2 linked regions of the Stegostoma tigrinum genome follow. The protein of the gene in region 1 interacts with the protein of each later gene in a biochemical or structural test. Links are inferred from orthologs where the notes say so. Each region holds a gene or a part of one and is shown on either strand. Other genes may lie near its edges.

Evidence for each region.
Region 2: of the proteins of klf5a (region 1) and NEDD4-like E3 ubiquitin-protein ligase WWP1, one has a biochemical effect on the other in vitro, tested with the Homo sapiens proteins (4 studies listed by BioGRID, with this or other methods). The link is inferred for Stegostoma tigrinum from reciprocal best matches to the Homo sapiens genes KLF5 and WWP1.

Annotation. Positions count from the first base shown.
Region 1 is NC_081359.1:25,686,925-25,695,087, reverse strand, and holds the start of klf5a (Krueppel-like factor 5), read right to left. Parts: upstream 3,416-8,163; 5' UTR 3,223-3,415; coding exon 3,064-3,222; intron 2,281-3,063; exon of another isoform or gene 2,196-2,280; coding exon of another isoform or gene 2,172-2,195; intron 1-2,171. UniProt on the Homo sapiens protein: Transcription factor that binds to GC box promoter elements. Activates the transcription of these genes.
Region 2 is NC_081358.1:85,845,218-85,853,935, reverse strand, and holds the start of NEDD4-like E3 ubiquitin-protein ligase WWP1, read right to left. Parts: upstream 3,185-8,718; 5' UTR 3,053-3,184; intron 1-3,052. UniProt on the Homo sapiens protein: E3 ubiquitin-protein ligase which accepts ubiquitin from an E2 ubiquitin-conjugating enzyme in the form of a thioester and then directly transfers the ubiquitin to targeted substrates.

The sequences.
Region 1 (8,163 bases):
AGACAGGTTGGACTGGTTTTGGGATGCAGTGGGGGGAGGGGAAGAGCTGGGCTGGTTGTGTGGTGCAGTGGGGGGAGGGGACGAACTGGGCTGGTTTTGGGATACGGTGGGGGAAGGGGAGATTTTGAAGCTGGTGAAGTCCACATTGATACCATTGGGCTGCAGGGTTCCCAAGCGGAATATGAGTTGCTGTTCCTGCAACTACGGGTGGCATCCTTGTGGCACTGCAGGAGGCCCATGGTGGGCATGCCATCTAAAGAATGGGAGGGAGAGTGGAAATGGTTTGCAACTGGGAGGTGCAGTTGTTTATTGCGAACCGAGCGGAGGTGTTCTGCAAAGCAGTCCCCAAGCCTCCGCTTGGTTTCCCCAATGTAGAGGTAGCCACACCGGGTACAATGGATGCAGTATACCACATTGGCAGATGTGCAGGTGAACCTCTGCTTGATATGGAAAAAGTGATCTTGGGGCCTGGGATAGGGGTGAGGGAGGAGGTGTGGGGGTAAGTGTAGCATTTCCTGCGGTTGCAGGGGAAGGTGCCGGGTGTGGTGGAGTTGGAGGGCAGTGTGGAGCGAACAAGGGAGTCACTGAGAGAGTGGTCTATTCCGGAAAGCAGACAAGGGTGGGGATGGAAAAATGTCTTGGGTGGTGGGGTCGGATTGTAGATGGCGGAAGTGTCGGAGTATGATGCATTGTATCCGGAGGTTGGTGGGGTGGTGTGTGAGAATGAGGGGGATCCTCTTAGGGCGGTTGTGGCGGGGGCGGGGTGTGAGGGATGTGTTGCAGGAATTGCGGGAGACGCGGTCAAGGGCGTTCTCGACCACTGTGGGGGGAAAATTGCAGTCCTTGAAGAACTTGGACATCTGGGATGTGCGGGAGTGGAATGCCTCATCGTGGGAGCAGATGCAGCGGAGGCGGAGGAATTGGGAATAGGGGATGGAATTTTTGCAGGAGGGTGGGTGGGAGGAGGTGTATTCTAGGTAGCTGTGGGAGTCGGTGGGCTTGAAATGGACATCAGTTACAAGCTGGTTGCCTGAGATGGAGATTGAGGGGTCCTGGAAGGTGAGGGATTTGTGTATACGGGTTTAAACAGGGGTTTGTCTACCATGCACATGAACTTTTGATTGCTTGAAAATCTAGCCATTTCATTTGTTTAGAAAAGGATTGTACAGAGTCATCTGAAACTGGCACCAAGAATTAGCAGTCATCTCCAACATACCAGAAACATTTCACTGCACTCTCATAACATCAACCTAATCCAGCTGCATCTTGTTCTTTCACTTATTTTCTTTGCTTTTCTGAACTACACAAACTTGAAAATGAGGATGGCTTAAAAAAGATTTTTTTGCAATATATCTACTTGTTTCACACTTACAATAACCATTGACATAAATAGTGAAGGAATGATTTGAGGATTATGATGTTAGTTACCATTTAAAATGCAATTGCACACTTATCTACACTAGGCAGATTAAGTTTAAAAACATTCCATTAAAATACAACCAAAACTTTAATGTGCAAAGGTGAAATAATGCCACACGTTCCTTGTGAGGTAGAAAAAAAGTTGCAGCTTAACTGCAAAATAGTTGCTCAAATAGTTTCCAAAACAGATCAAAATGATTTAAATAGAAAACACCTTTGGGTAATAGTTAGACACATATCACTACAGCCTGGGGGTGGTGAATGCTCAGAGTCATCAGGGAAATATTCATCATGCTCACTGCTGTTGAAGATACAAATGCTACATTCCCCTTTCATCTGTAAAAACTCCACGATAATGCCAAATATTTGAGCATTCCCTCCCCCTACCCCTCCCGCTAATAATAATCAGCTGACTGGCGGAAAATCTGATCAATTATTCAGAGAGAACAACTATGCAGCAAATTCAGATCCCACCAACTCCTGAAAAAGAAGTTGCAAAGTTTGGGACTGGCCACACGTTCAAAGTTTTCCGATTATAGATCTTCCAGCTGTCGTTGGCATATTTTCGGTGCAGTGGCTCAGGGAGAATTTCAAAGTGCTGGGAAGTTTTTTCTAGTCTCAATGACTTGCTCTGTAGGCGAGGAAAAAGTCAGATGCTTGAACGCGACATAGCAAGTGCTAAACCAGCTGCGGCCCTCACCCACTGACCAAAAAAAACCTAAATTAAAAATAAAAATACAGCACATCCTCACCCACGCCTGGTGCATACTGCGCATTGTCGAGTACGGGGGAAGATTGAGTGCACGCCGCCCTCAACACACACTTTAGCCATTCCAGCACTACCAGGTTATAGAGCCACTCCCACCTGTAACTGGGAGGAAGTGGAAGTGTAATCGTGGAATTGCTGGTCGAAATGTATTGTTTCTTCATATCAATATACATTAAAATATGTATTACGAACAAATTCTATATAATTCACGTGAACAAAACAAGTGAACCTAAAACCAACGCCTTCAAATCCGAGAACGGTCAATATGGAGAAGCGGCAATAAAACTTCTCAGTTTCATTTTTCCTACAAGAATTCGGTTTTTGATCTAAAGTCTAATGTCAACAGCGCGACTCCGGGATCACAACAGCAACAACTTTTAGCTGCTACCCATTCACCCTCGCAGTGTTTACACACATTTCCTTATCATCGCTCCCATTCACAATAAGCAGCACTTGCGGATCCCAATCTCCAATGAACGTTATTTTTAAAAAAAAGTTAAAACAGGCGGGAGGGAGAGAGGGCACTCTTCCTCGCAAACGTGCGGCGTTTAATCCTCCAAGAAAGGGGGGGGGGGGGGTAACTGTTAAATACAAGTTGGGGTCGTGAAAGAAAATAGTTGCAAATCAGAAGCAAGAAAAAAAGCCTTCCGACGCCGATACAATGTGGAAAAGAAATACGATTACTCTATGTTCTATGTATTCAGGAAACTCATTGAAGTGTTACAGAGATGGGGTGAGTGGGGAGATAACATTTTGTAAAGGGGTTTATTTAAGTTTGCATACTTATTTCAACGACCTTTCGTGTTTTCAAGGACTGAAGGGAACAGTTTTGCTCCGGTTGCAGTGAGGAGAGTGGGGTTCTTAGAGGGACATACCTGGGCTAAGTCGTCCGTCGCCAGCATCCTCGCCGCTGGACTCTTCATGCCGTCGAACATCGCCTCCTCCGCCTGAAGACCTACCGGTTTGAGTTGGGTGAAGACAGGCTCGTCCGAGCTGCCCCCGCCCAAACTGCCCCTCACTGCACCGCAGGCCATTTGCTCCACACGGTCACAGGGAGTGCGTTTCTGCGTGTGGTGAGTATAAGATCCGCATCCGCCGCAAACACTCTGCCTGCCGCCCGGGATCCCGCAGTTTTCACTCGCACCCACTGACTGCCGACTCTCCAAACATTCCTGCCACTTCCACCCCGGGACACCCGGGCATCCAACCCTCCTCTCCCCCACACCCGCCAAACTCCGGCCACAACCGTGACCGACAGCACAAACCACCAATCAGGATCCAGATCCCCATCCGAGCGATGGGCGCACTCACCAATCAGCCCCCACCAGTGGATGGGGAGGCGGGCTCTCCTGGAAGCATCAGGTTACACGCTCACTCACCAGGTATGTGCTGAGGTAACGTTTACTTAGATGTTTCAAGGCTGCGCTGGTACAGCGGTAATATCCCTCCCTCTAGGCTAGGTGACTCGGGTTTAAGTCCCGCTTGCCCCAGAAACTGTGTTTCCCCCCCCAAAAAAACTACCGCTTTGGTTTCAAACATCCGAACCTGTTATTGGGATTCAGAGCGATTGAAGTAATCCTTCCCAATTTTTAAGTGGAAGTGCACTTTTGGAGTGCCGTCAAAGTTTCTCACTGTTTCGATTAGACTCGTAACCGGATGAAAAAAAAACACAAATCTGCCGTAGGGTTTCCAAGAATGTAGGAACAGATGGACACCACGGAGTTTATGAGTACCATAATTTAAATCTGCTCCGAGTAATTGTAATGAATACATCTTGTACTGAATCAGGCCAACGTTAGTGGTCAGGTGCCACCGCAGTTCAAATGCGTGGGGAGCGGGGGTGGGATGGTGTCGCAGAATTCACTTTAGACGTTCTACTGTGCATGAATAGATGCTGGATTTGCTTTCAAGGGTAGAACAACTTGTGTTGATAAACCACTGGAAGTTTTAATTTTTCTCCAGTGCTCATTGGCCTACATGACCCCCATTCCAACAATGTCTCAATTTTGATGTTTTTCCACATGACTGACACGCCGTTCGTGATCTCATTCCCTCCTTGTGTCTAGAACAATCTCCAGCTCTTCAACTCTGAAAGATCTCTGCTCCCCTCCAACCAACATCTTAGGCACCCCTGATCCCAACTGATTTGCCATTGGCAGTCGTGCCTACGCGCTGATCTCTGCAAATCTTTCCTATTTATCTCTCTTGTTTTCTGTCCTACATTAACTGGTCAAACCTGCCTCTCTGCCGTCATGATATCTCCTTGTATCCCAAATAAAATTATGTTTGCTAGTACTCCTGTGAAATGTGTTGGTCTGTTTCAGGAATTTAAAAGTACTGTAGCAGATATTTTAAGTGATATTTCAGAATTCACACAGTATAGGAAGTCCCCAACTTTTGAACATCAGAATTACAAACTCTCATGCTTACCAATGTGAACCCCAAACAGGACTGTAATTTTAAATATCAGGCTTACAAACATTTCCAGTACTTACAAGTGGCTGCTTTATAGTGCCATGCATTGTGTTCCGATTTGCATACAATCAACTTGCAAGTGGACTCAGGAACAAAACAGATACATTCCAACGATTAAGAATTATTCCAAGGGATGGACCACTTGTGGTATACTAGAAATTGTAAAGATAGTTACAAACTAAGAGAACTGGCATACAAGTATGCAAAGATGGGTTGGAGGTCAGAATTTGGGATGGAACAGAAAGAAAGCAAACAATGTCTACAAAAGTAGTAGCGAAGGAGTGATTACAGTGCAAGCCAGAAATAAAAATCAGACAGAGTTTCTGTAAATACTTACCGATGAAAAAAAAACTGGTGTTGGTCCTACAAACAATGACACAAGGGAATTAATGGAAAATAAACAAATGACAAATGAACAAGTACTTTGCATCAGTCCTTATGATGGAAGTTACAAGTAAAATCGCAGAAGTAGGAATAAATCAGGAAATTGAAAGGAGGAAGAAAATCACATCACCATCAAAGTAGTACTGAGTAAATTGGTGGAACTGTGGTCTGACATGGTCATGAGTACTGCTACACTTCATCCTAGCTTTCAAAAAGAAATAACAAGTGAGATAGTTGATGTAATTGTTTTGATTTTCCAAAGGTCCCTCTAGTTGGTGACACTCTCGTGAGATTGGACGGCAGTGAATTTAAGCCCATTATTCAAAAAGGGACCAAGGTAGAAAGCAAGAAAATACAGGCTCAACATATGTAATGGAAAAGATGTTAAAAGCTATTGTTAAAAAAGTTATCACAGGGAATTTGAAAAGTTCAAGTTTATCACACAATATGGTTCTGGGAATGGAAAATCATGTTTGACCAATGGATTGGACTTCTTTGAAGAGGTAACACATGCTATGGACAAAAAGGAACCAGTGAATGTACTGTACTAGATTTTAGGAAGGGATTTGATAAGGTGCCACATCAAAGGTTATTGCAAAAGACAAAGCTGATGGTTTTGCAGGGAATAAATTAGCTTTAGATGGAAGACTGGCCAGCTGACTTAAAGCGGCCACTCACGATAAATGTTTTTTTTCAAAAAGGAATAGAGGAAAACAGGAATTAGTGTTGTGGCCTGAACATTTTACAATTTATATTAATGAATGAGTTGGAGGGACAGAAGGTACTATTTCCAAATTGGCTGACAGCGTAAAAATAGGTAGAAATGTAAGTTGTGTAGAGGATGCAAGAAAGCTAACAAAAAGATTTATGACTGAGTGAGCAAAGATGTGGCAAATGAAGTACAATGTAATAAAATATGTAATTATCATCTTAAAAAGTATTGACTGGCCGAAAGAATAAAAAGGCTTTCGTTATATAAATAATGGGCAATTTAATAGCTCAGTTTCTTTTACTCAGTCATGAGATATTGTCAACTTTGGCTGAACCAATACTTATTGTCCATACCTAGTTTCCCTTGAGAAGGTGGTGGTCAGCTACCTGTTTGAACCATTACAATCTATTTGGTGGAAGTACATCCACAATGCCATTAGGAAGGCAGTTCTGGGATTTAAGCTTGTCAACACTGAAGAAACAGCGACATATTTTCAAGTCAGAATTATGAATGACTTGGAAGAAAACTTGCAGGTGGTTAGACCTTCAGACATAGGAGCGGAAATTAGGCCATTCAGCCCTCAAGTCTGCTGCACCAAGACTGATAAGTTTCTTAACCTCATTCTCCTGCTTTCTCCCCATAACCTTTGATCCCCTTGATAATCAAGAACCTATCTATCTCAGTCTTAAATATACTCAATGACCTGGCCTTCAGCCTTGTGTGGCAGTGAATTCTATAGATTCATACTCTCTGGCTGAATAAGTTTCTCCTTATCTCCATTCTAAAAGATCTTCGCTATACTCTGAGGCTGTGCGCTCAGGTCCTAGTCTCTCCTACTAATGAAAGCATTTTCCCAATATCCACTCTGTCCAAGCCATTCAGTATCCTGTAAGTTTCTAGATCCCCCCTCATCTTTCTAAACTCAAATGAGTCCCAGAGTTCTGAAACAATCCTCATATGTTAAGCTTTCCATTCTTGGGACCATTCTCATGAATCCCCTCTGAACGCGCTCCATGGCCAGTCCATCCTTCCTGAGATTTGGGGCCCAAAACTGCGCACAATACTCCAAATGTGGCCGAACCACAGCTTGTAACGCCTCAGTAGTATATCCCTGATTTTATATTCAAATCCTCTCAAAATAAATGCCAACATTGCATTTGCCTTCTGACTACTGACTCATCCTGCAAGTTTACCTTGGGAGAATCTTGGACTAACACTCGCAAGTCTCTTTGCACTTCAGACTTCTGAATTTTCTCCCCATTTAAAAAATAGTCCATGCTTTTACTCTTCTTACCAAACTGCATAACCTCAACTTTCCCATGTTGTACTCCATCTGCCACTTCTTCTCCTAACCTGTCCAAATCCATCTGCAGCCTCCCCACCTCCTCAATACTACCTGTCCTTCCACCTATCTTTGTTTCATCTGCAAAATTAGCCGGAATGCCCACAGTTCTTTCATCTACATCATGAATGTATAAAGTGAAATGTTGTGGTCCCAACAATGACCCTTGCAGAACACCACTTGTCACCGGCTGCCATCCTGAGAAAGACCCTTTTATTCCATTACCTTGCTTTCTGCCAGACAGCCAATCTTCTATCCATGCTAGCACCTTGCCTCTAACACCATGGGCCCTTACCTTACTCAGCAGCCTCCTGTGCTGCACCTTGTCAAAGGTCTTCCTGAAGTCAAGGTAAATAACATCCATTAGCTCTCCTTGGTCTACCCTGCTCATTATTTGCTCAAAGAATTCTAACAGATTTGTCAGGCACGACCTCCCCTTAAGTAAACCATGCTGACTTTGCCATACTTCACCACAGACCTTCAAATATTCAGAAATCGCATCCTTTACAATGGACTCCAAAATCTTATCCATGACTGACGTTAGGCTAATTGGCCTGTAATTCTCCATGTTTTGTCTCACACCCTTTTTAAACAGGGATGGCACATAGCAATTTTCCAGTCCTCTGGGACACTTCCTGACTCGAGAGATTCCTGAAAGACCACCACTAACGCTTCCACTGTCTCTTCGGCTATCTCCTTTGGAAATCTGGGGTGTAGTCCATTTGGTCTAGGTGGTTTATCCAGCTTAAGGCCAATCAGTTTTACCAGCACCTTTTCCATGGTGATGTCCACCATACTCAGTTCTGACCCCTGACTCTATTGAATTTTTGGGAGAGTACTCATGTCTTCCACCGTGAAGACTGATTCAAGTAATTATTCAGTTCCTCAGCTATTTCCTTGTTCCCCATTACTATCTCTCCACCATCATTTTCCAGTGGTCTAATGTCCACTTTTGCCTCTCTTTTGCCCTTTATATATCTAAACAAACTCTTACAGTCATCATTTATATTACTCACTAGCTTACCCTCATATTTAATCTTCTCCCTCCTTATTTCTTTCTTT
Region 2 (8,718 bases), on another chromosome or scaffold:
CGCACCAGCTCCCTCTGATCCTCACTGCTTTGCAAGGTCCAAGCCATTCGTACATACTCCCTTATCTTGTTTTTCCTACCCAAGTGAATCATCTCACACTTACTTGGATTATATCCGTTTGCCACTGATCAGCCATCTGGCCAGCCCATCCACGTCCTCCTGTAATCTAAGGCTATCCACCTCACTAATGTCTGGGCCATCAGTGAACTTACTGATTAAACTTCTTACGTTCAAGGCTAAACCATTTATATATACCACAAACAGCAAGCGCCACAATACTGATCTCTGCAGAATCCCACCTGGCACAGGCTTCCAGTCAAAAACACATCTCAACCATCAGCCTCTTCTTCCTGTCATTCAGCCAATTCTGGATCCCATAGGCTTTTACCTTTGCTATCAGTCTCCCGTACAAGATCTTATCAACTGCCTTGCTTCCAATCAATTACGTCCAATGTATTGCCCTCATCTACACACCCAGTTATCTCTTTGAAGGATTCAAATTGGTCAGACATGTACTCCGCTTAACGACACTATGTTATTATTCTTGATGAATTCTTGCCTATCCAAAAGGCAGATTAATTTTGTACTTCAGAATTGTTCCTATTAGCTTCCCGACTATTGGGGTTAGATTGAGATGCTAGGAACTGCAGATGCTGGAGAATCTGAGATAACAAGGTGTAGAGCTGGATGGACACCAGGCCAAACAAAGGAGCAGGAATCTCTATCGCTTCCCTAACTCCCCACCTACATTCAACTTTACTGGCTCCATCCCCGCCTCTTTGACCTGTCTGTCTCCTCTCACCCTACTTTCTCCTTTATCCATCTGCTATTCACCTCCCCCGTCTCCCTTTTCATTTCAGAATCCCCTTCCCCTCCCCCATTTCTGAAGAAGGGTCTTGACCCGAAACGTCAGCCTTCCTGCTCCTTTGATGCTGCTTGGCCTGCTGTGTTCATCCAGCTCTGCACCTTGTTATCAGAGGTTTGACTGACTGGTCTGTAGTTTCCTGCTTCATCCCTAGCTCACTTCTTGAATAACAGTTTGAAAACCAAGCTAAACTAATGTCAAATCACAAGAACTTCTTTTAAAGGTGTTCTTGTATGTACTTTGACCCTCTTCTGATTTATAGGACAATCAAATATGTAAGTTCATAAATGCAAAAACTCCAAACTGCAGTAACTGAAAAGGCTGTACTCTTAGTCACTGGTCAAACCATGGGTTCATGCAGTCCTATACAGTACTACAAATGAATTAGCTATCAAGAGGAGGTGATTTAGCAAAATATCTGCAACTTGGAGATAACTGTCCAGGTGGCCACAGCAAACGAAGCATCATGGGCTGTGTAAGAAAACCAGACATTCAACATAAATATATTATAGGTATCAGGCTTGAGACAAGTCAAGATTTTGTTCAAAAAAGCTCTCAACATAAATACTTAGCATGAACAGAATTCAAGACCTGTAATTTAAGATACAGTTTTAACTAATTTCAAATAATATTTTGGACATTAATTTGAATACTGACAACCAATAACTTTCATACAACCATAAGCCATAAACAACACAAACAGCAAACTAATACACTATTAAACACGAGAAATTGAGGCTTTGCACTCTGCACACATCTTCCTAAAGTAATTATGATTAAATTTCATGTTACGGTCTTAACTCCTTGGCTAAGCATATGGGTGATGATGGGATAGTGTAGGGGGAGGGGCTTAGATTAGTTCACAGGTCGGCGCAACATCGAGGGCCGAAGGGCCTGTTCTGCGCTGTATTGTTCTATGTTCTTTTTGATTTTACAGAGAAGAAATTTTATTTTACAAAGACAATCTAAATTCAACGGATTTGCAGGGCTTTCCTGAATTATACCAGCTGTCATTTGAGCAACGTTAGTGGGTCACGACAACTGTAATTTTCCTTTTCAGATTTTTAAATCTCCCATATATCTATACACAGTAATTACAAAGCTGTAAACAGCTCATCGGGCTGTATACTTGCAGATATTACTGGGCCTTTTTTAGAGGCCTGGTACTAAGATGCTGCAATATTCTACTTCTGTCAGCAGAGGCAGAGGAATCCAGGAATTCTCGGATCTTGGAACTTGCAAGCAAGGGGCGGGCGGGGAGTCAGCTACAGCTGACAGGAATCCAGAAAACATTTTTAAAACACCCTGAGAAAATGCATTTCGTTAAACGGCAAAACCTGCAAACGCTGCTCCCTCTTCAATCACATCGGGTGCCCTGGATTGTAATGCCCACTACCAGCAAGAAGATCGAGAAAGATTTTGGCCAAAAGCGCTTGTGTACAAATATTAAGACGTGCTGCTGGCTGCTTCGTCATGGTCACGGACACTTTGTGATTGCCAGGAGGGCAGCATGCAGTTGGAATTGCAGTGGTCCCTTCTCACAAACAACAACCGCCCGCCCCCACACACCACAACCAAGCCATCTCATCCTCCCGGCTCGAAGACAGAGACCAGACAAGAGTCCACTTCAGTCCCGAACACAAACTAAACCCATGTCTCCCAGTTGGCCCAGGTCAACTCTCATCCATGTATCAGCAATTTTAAAGAAAACAAACCTGGGGGGGGGGGGGAGAAGAGAGCGTGCTGCAAATGTCCACTCCTTTGACAAGGAGTTTTATTAATGTAACATTTCTATTCTCCACAGTCTGGATTGAGTAAGAGGTGCCAGCTGAAACTCGGCTGGAAAGCCGGATCAGCAGCTCCATGTTGTCTCTCCTTCCCCCAGTCCCGACCCCCAGGCCCTTTGCCGGCATTCGGTTTATCTCCATGGGCTCAGGGTCGGGGCCTCGGCCTCCTCCGCCGTGGCTGCCCTGAGGGAAGGGAAGGGGAGGGGAGGGGAGGGGAGGAGAGGCAGGGCCCAGCCGCAGCCTCCTCCATCCCCATCACTCACAATTCCGGTCAGAACCCAGAGCGTCCGAAGAGTCTCCCTGCTCGGAGTGGGCCAAACGGGAACAGCATCCAAACCGGACGGACATACAGACAAGGGCCACGGTTTGCAGCCCGCAGTCCGGGGCCTACACCACTCACCCGTTTAAAGGCCGTCCTCACCCTCCTCCTCCTCCCTGGCCCTGCCGATCCGGCTCTGGCTCCCCCTCACTCTCCGTATCTCCGCTCCGCCGCGCAGCCCCACTCGCCAATCCCCATCTCCGGCGCGGCACCGTCACCGCTCGAGTGCGCGCGACACCCCGCGAGTGCGAGAGCGCGCACGTGCGACGCCCAGACCGTCCGGACGGCGCGCACGTCAGAGCCGTGCTCCTCTTGCTTGCTGTCCGGCGGTGCACCCGCGGTGTCGGGGGAGTTGGAAAGCTGTAGGGTGTTTATGCTGAACGGCTAGAGCAATTGTATCTCTCTAAATGCACCGAGTAAACGATGTTCAGATTCTTCAGCCTCCATCCCACAAACATTCTCAGGCGGTATTGTGTGTTCAAGCAATAAAAGCAAAATACGGAGGACACTGCAAACCTGAAACGAAAACAGAAATTACCTGAGAAACTCAGGTCTGGCAGCTTCTGTGGAGAGAAACTGGGGTTGCGCCTCCAGTCCAGAATGATACCTCGCTGACCTGCAGACTTTGCCACATGCAGAATAAGTTGTGCTTGAAGGGTCAAGAACATTAGGTATTTGGAGATTTCTGTGCTGTCACCAACGCTTCAGTTTTGCTTCAGCATGCTCCCAATGCCTTCCTTTTGCATTTGAGTTCATCGACAAGCGAGGGACTCCCATGAGGTGATGGGAAAGTTCATGCCTTTGAGGGCATCCGTGAAATGTGTCTGAAGTCTTCTTCGGAGTCTCTTGCCACAACAAAGTTCCGAACAGCGCAATTACTTAAGGAATCTGATGTCTGGGACAAATAGTATTATATGCTGAAGATATAGGATAAACGATAGCTAGCCATCTTGTCAAAATCTGCGCATAGAAATCCTCGCAACCTGCACACCGAGAATTCTACGTACTTCTAGGCAGCACATTATATAAATTTATCTTTTACTGCCAGCAAATTCAGAAATTGAAACAAGTTGCTGGAAAAGCTCAGCAAGTCTGGCAGCGTCTGTGGAGGAAATATCAATGTTAACGTTTCGGGTCCAGTGATCCTTCCTCAGAACTCAAGGTTCTGACCTGCTCAGCTTTTCCAGCAACTTCTGTTTTTGCTCCTCATGTACAGCATCTGCAGTTCTTTCAGTTTTTGTTACGTTCAGAAACTGGTCACCTTCTGCTGTAAAAGTCATTGAGACAGGTATGGTTGATCACATACTACAACCATAATAACATATAAAACACGTGCTTAACAATGTGCTTTATCAGTAAAAATATTTTTGACTGTAGCTGGAGGAAGTATAAGAACAAATGGCCAAAAACTTGATCAAAAAATTGGTTTTAAGTAATGTATTAGATAGAGTAATAGAGGTCTACAGCATGGAAACAGACCCTTAGGCCCCACTTACCCATGCGTCCAGTTTTAGATTAGATTAGATTACCTACAGCGTGGAAACAGGCCCTTCGGTCCAACAAGTCCACACCGCCCCTTGAAGCATCCCACCCAGACCCATTCCCCTATAACCCACACACCCCTGAACACTATGGGCAATTTAGCATGGCCAATCCACTAGACTGCACATCTTTGGACTGTGGGAGTAAACCGGAGCACCTGGAGGAAACCCAGGCAGACACGGGGAGAATGTGCGACTCCACACAGACAGTCGCCGGAGGCTGGGATTGAACCTGGGTCCCTGGTGCTTTGAGGCTGTAGTGCTAACCACTAAGCCACCAAGGTGATCTCATTGAAACCCCTGAAGTGGTCTCAATTAAACTAGTCTCATTTGCATACATTTGGTCGATATCCTTCCATATCTATCCCATCCATGTATGTGTCTAAATGTTTCCTAAATGATGATGAAGTTGTAGTCACTTCTACCACTATGTCTTGCAGGCTGTTCCAGACACTCTCTACCCTCTGTGTGAAAAATTTGCCCCTCTAGATCCTGGTTTATGTTTTCCCTCTCAAGCTAAACCTATGGCCTCTGGTTTTAGACTCCCCTTCCAAGGGGAAAAGCTGTTGGCTATCTACCTTATCAATAACTCGTATGATTTTGTAGACATTCATAAGATTGCCTTCAGCCTTCTTTGCTCCAAGGAACAAAGTCCCAGCCTATCCAACCTCTCCTTAGAACTCAAACCTTCCAGTCCTGATAGAATCCTAGTAAATCTTTCTGAGCTCTTCCTAGTTTACTTATATTCTTTCTATAATGGAGGCCAGAATGCATGCAGTGCTCCAAACATCTTGTATAGCTGCAACAAGACATCCCAACTTCTATACCCAGTGCTCTGACTGATGAAAACAAGCATGTTGAAAGTCTTCTTCACCACTCTGTCTACCTGTGACTCTAATTTCAAGGAGCTATGAACCTGTACCTTTAGATCTCTGTCCTGCTCTGGTTTGACCCCCCAAAACGCAACATCGTGCCTTTATCTAAGTTAAACTCCATCTGCTATTCCTCAGCCCACTGGCTCAGTTGATCAAGATCTCGCTGCATTCGAAGATAACCTTCTTCACTGTCACTATACCACTAAGTTTCATCCATACCCCCTAAATTCTCATTCAAATCATTTATATAAATGACAAATAACAGTGGACCCAGCACCAAACCCTGTGGCACACTGCTGGTCACAGGACTCCAGTGTGAAAAACAATCTCTTATCACCATCATTTGTCTTCTACTGTCAAGCTACTTTTGTATACAGTTGGCTACTTCTCTCTGGATCTCATGAGATATAACCATACTCAACAGCCTTTTGTTTGGTATTGTGTCAAAGGCCTTGCTAAAGACCATGTAGACATCATCGACCACTTAGTCTTCATCTACTCTCTTGGTCCCCTCTTCAAAAAACTCAAATTCGTGAGACATGCTGACTATCCCAAATGAGTTGTTGCCTCTCCAAATGCCCTCGAACAACTCACCCATCACAGATGTTAGGCTCACCAGTCTATAGTTCCCAGGCGTTTCCCTTCAGTGTTTCTTAAATAATGACACAACATTAGCCACCCTCCAATCTTCAGTTGCATCACAGGTGGCTGTTGATTATACAAATATCTCCACCCCCTGCAATTTCCTCCCTAGCCTCTGACAATGATACTGTTCATTGGGTTCTGGGGATTCATCTACCTTAATGCTTCTTAAAGCTTCCAGCACCTCCTCTTCTGTAATGTGAATTCTTTTCAAGGCATCACTATTTATTTCCCCCAAGTTCCCTCGTGTCCATTCCATTCTTGATGGTAAATATCAATGACAAATATGCATTTAGGATATCACCCATCTTTTTTGGCTCTGCTCATAAACAATGTTGTTGATCTTTAAGAGACCCTATTCTGTCCCCAGATACTCTTTTGCCCTTTGTATACTTGTAGAATTGCTTTGGATTCTCCTTTAACTTATCTGCCAAAGCCATCTTGTGTCCACTTTTAGCCCTCCTGATTTCTCTCTTAAGTGTACTCCGAAATCCTTTATACTTCTCAGGGAATTCACTTCGTCCCTGCTGCCTATACATGTCATATGCCTCCTTCTTTATTTTGACCAGGGCCTCAATAACTCATCCAGGGTTCCCTGCTCCTGCCAACCTTACCCTTCACTCTAACAGGAACATGCTGGTCCTGAATCCCCATCTCAATTTTGAAAGCCTTCCACTTACCAGATGTCACTTTACATGCAAACAGCCTCCTGTAATCAACTTTGAAAGTTCCTGTCTAAGACCATCAAAATTGGCTAAGCCCAATTGAGAACTTTAGCTTGTTGAACAGACTTATCCTTTTCCATAGCTAAGTTAAAACTAATGGAATCATGGTCACTGGTTCCAAAGTGCTACTGCATTAACACTTCCATCACTTTCCCTGCCATATTTCCCAAGAGAAGCTCAAGTTTTTCCCCAATTCTAGTCGGGTCATATACATACTGATTGAGAAATTCTTCCTGAACACACTTAACCAATTTATGCCCATCCAAGCCCTTAACACTATGGCAATCCCATTCGATGTGAAGGAAGTAAAAATCCTCTACTATTACAACCCTATTAGTCTTGCAGCTATCTGTGATATCCTTACATATTTGCTCCTCAATCTCTGGCTGACTATTTTGGAGACCTATTGTACAATGCTATCAAAGTGATCCCGTCACCTTTTTGTTTCTGAGTTCTACCCATATCGACTCAGTGGATGAACCCTCAAGAATATCTTCTCTCAGCACTGCTGTGATGTTCTCCCCAACCAAAAACACTACTCCCCCTCCTTTCTTGCCTCCCCTTCTATACTTCCAATACCATCTGTGCCCTGGAATATTGAGCTGCCAGTTCTGTCCTTCCCTCAGCCATGTCTCTATAACAACTATAATATCCCAGTTCCCATGTTCCCATGTATCCATCCATGCCAAAATTCATTCGCCTTACCTGTCAGGCCTCTTGCATTGAAATAAATGCAGTTTAACACAGACATCCCTTCCTTCCAGCTGTGCCCTTGCTGGCCCTGCCTAGTCCTGAGAATGGCAACACTGCCTTTACTATTTAACTTGTTCTCAGTAACCTCTGTACTATCCTCAACTTTCTCTTTCATCTTCCTACTGCTTTGGACCCCACCCCTAGCCAGACTATATTAAATCCTCCCAAGGAGCTCTAGCAAATTTCCCCACCAGGATATTGGTCCCCTAATGAAGAAAGATAGAAAGAAATGCAAAAGAGTTTAGGGAGGAAAAGCTTAGGAACCAGTCAACTGAAAGCACAACCACCAACAAAGGAAAAATATGTCAATTATATCTCCACCAATGCCACTAGTGAGCAAAGGACCAGCAGCATATTCAGCCCTCAGTTTCCTCATGGATGGGGAATTCTTACAACTGGCAAAGCTTGGCTGTTGCACATTACATGGGCAGAACAAATTAATATTGTTAGATTTAACCATTCATCCAAATCCAGCAGTGTGTTTCAATGGGAAGATTGTTTATCATAAATTTGTGTATGTTTTGCGGTTTAAAAGTCCCTTGGCTGATTCACTGTTTTCTTCAATATGTTAACCACCCGATTTGCAGATTGCTTTAATAGAACCAGTTATAGCAGCTGTCCTTGCTTCCCTATCAGCCCTTTATCCCTCAGAAATATTGGTAAACAGATGAGGGCACTCCTCCTTCAGACCAGTAGGATTTGAGGGTTGGTATATGGCCTCCATGGCAGGTGAAAGCCCACAGCCTCTAGGTCCTCTGGTGCTGAACCTGAATGCTTTTGATCACTCTTGTCCAACTTCACAAGAAGACCAAACTGTTTACATTGACAAGCAGGTCATTGGAGATAATCACTAAATCCAAAACAGTTTCTGGTTATGGACGTTCAAATGCTGCAGTGCCTCAGTTATTGGCCATTTCAGACAATTAACTTTTGTATTTGAAAATAAGGAGCTCTTCCCTCAAGAGGCGATGTGGTGGTGGAGAGAGTGCTTGGTACAGTTATTTATTTCACCTGGGAAGCTATAGTGATGCAGAATTGGACCCAATTGAGTAGGTGGGATTTAGGGTCTTGATTTCATGTGGAAATGCTTGCTCTTTTTCCAAAGCTATAAATCACATTGTCATGCTTTTGTTTCATTATGTCCTTTTTGCCGGTTTCCACTTTGAGACAGTAGTATCTCTCCTGCTGGATTGAAGTAGCATTGACATCTG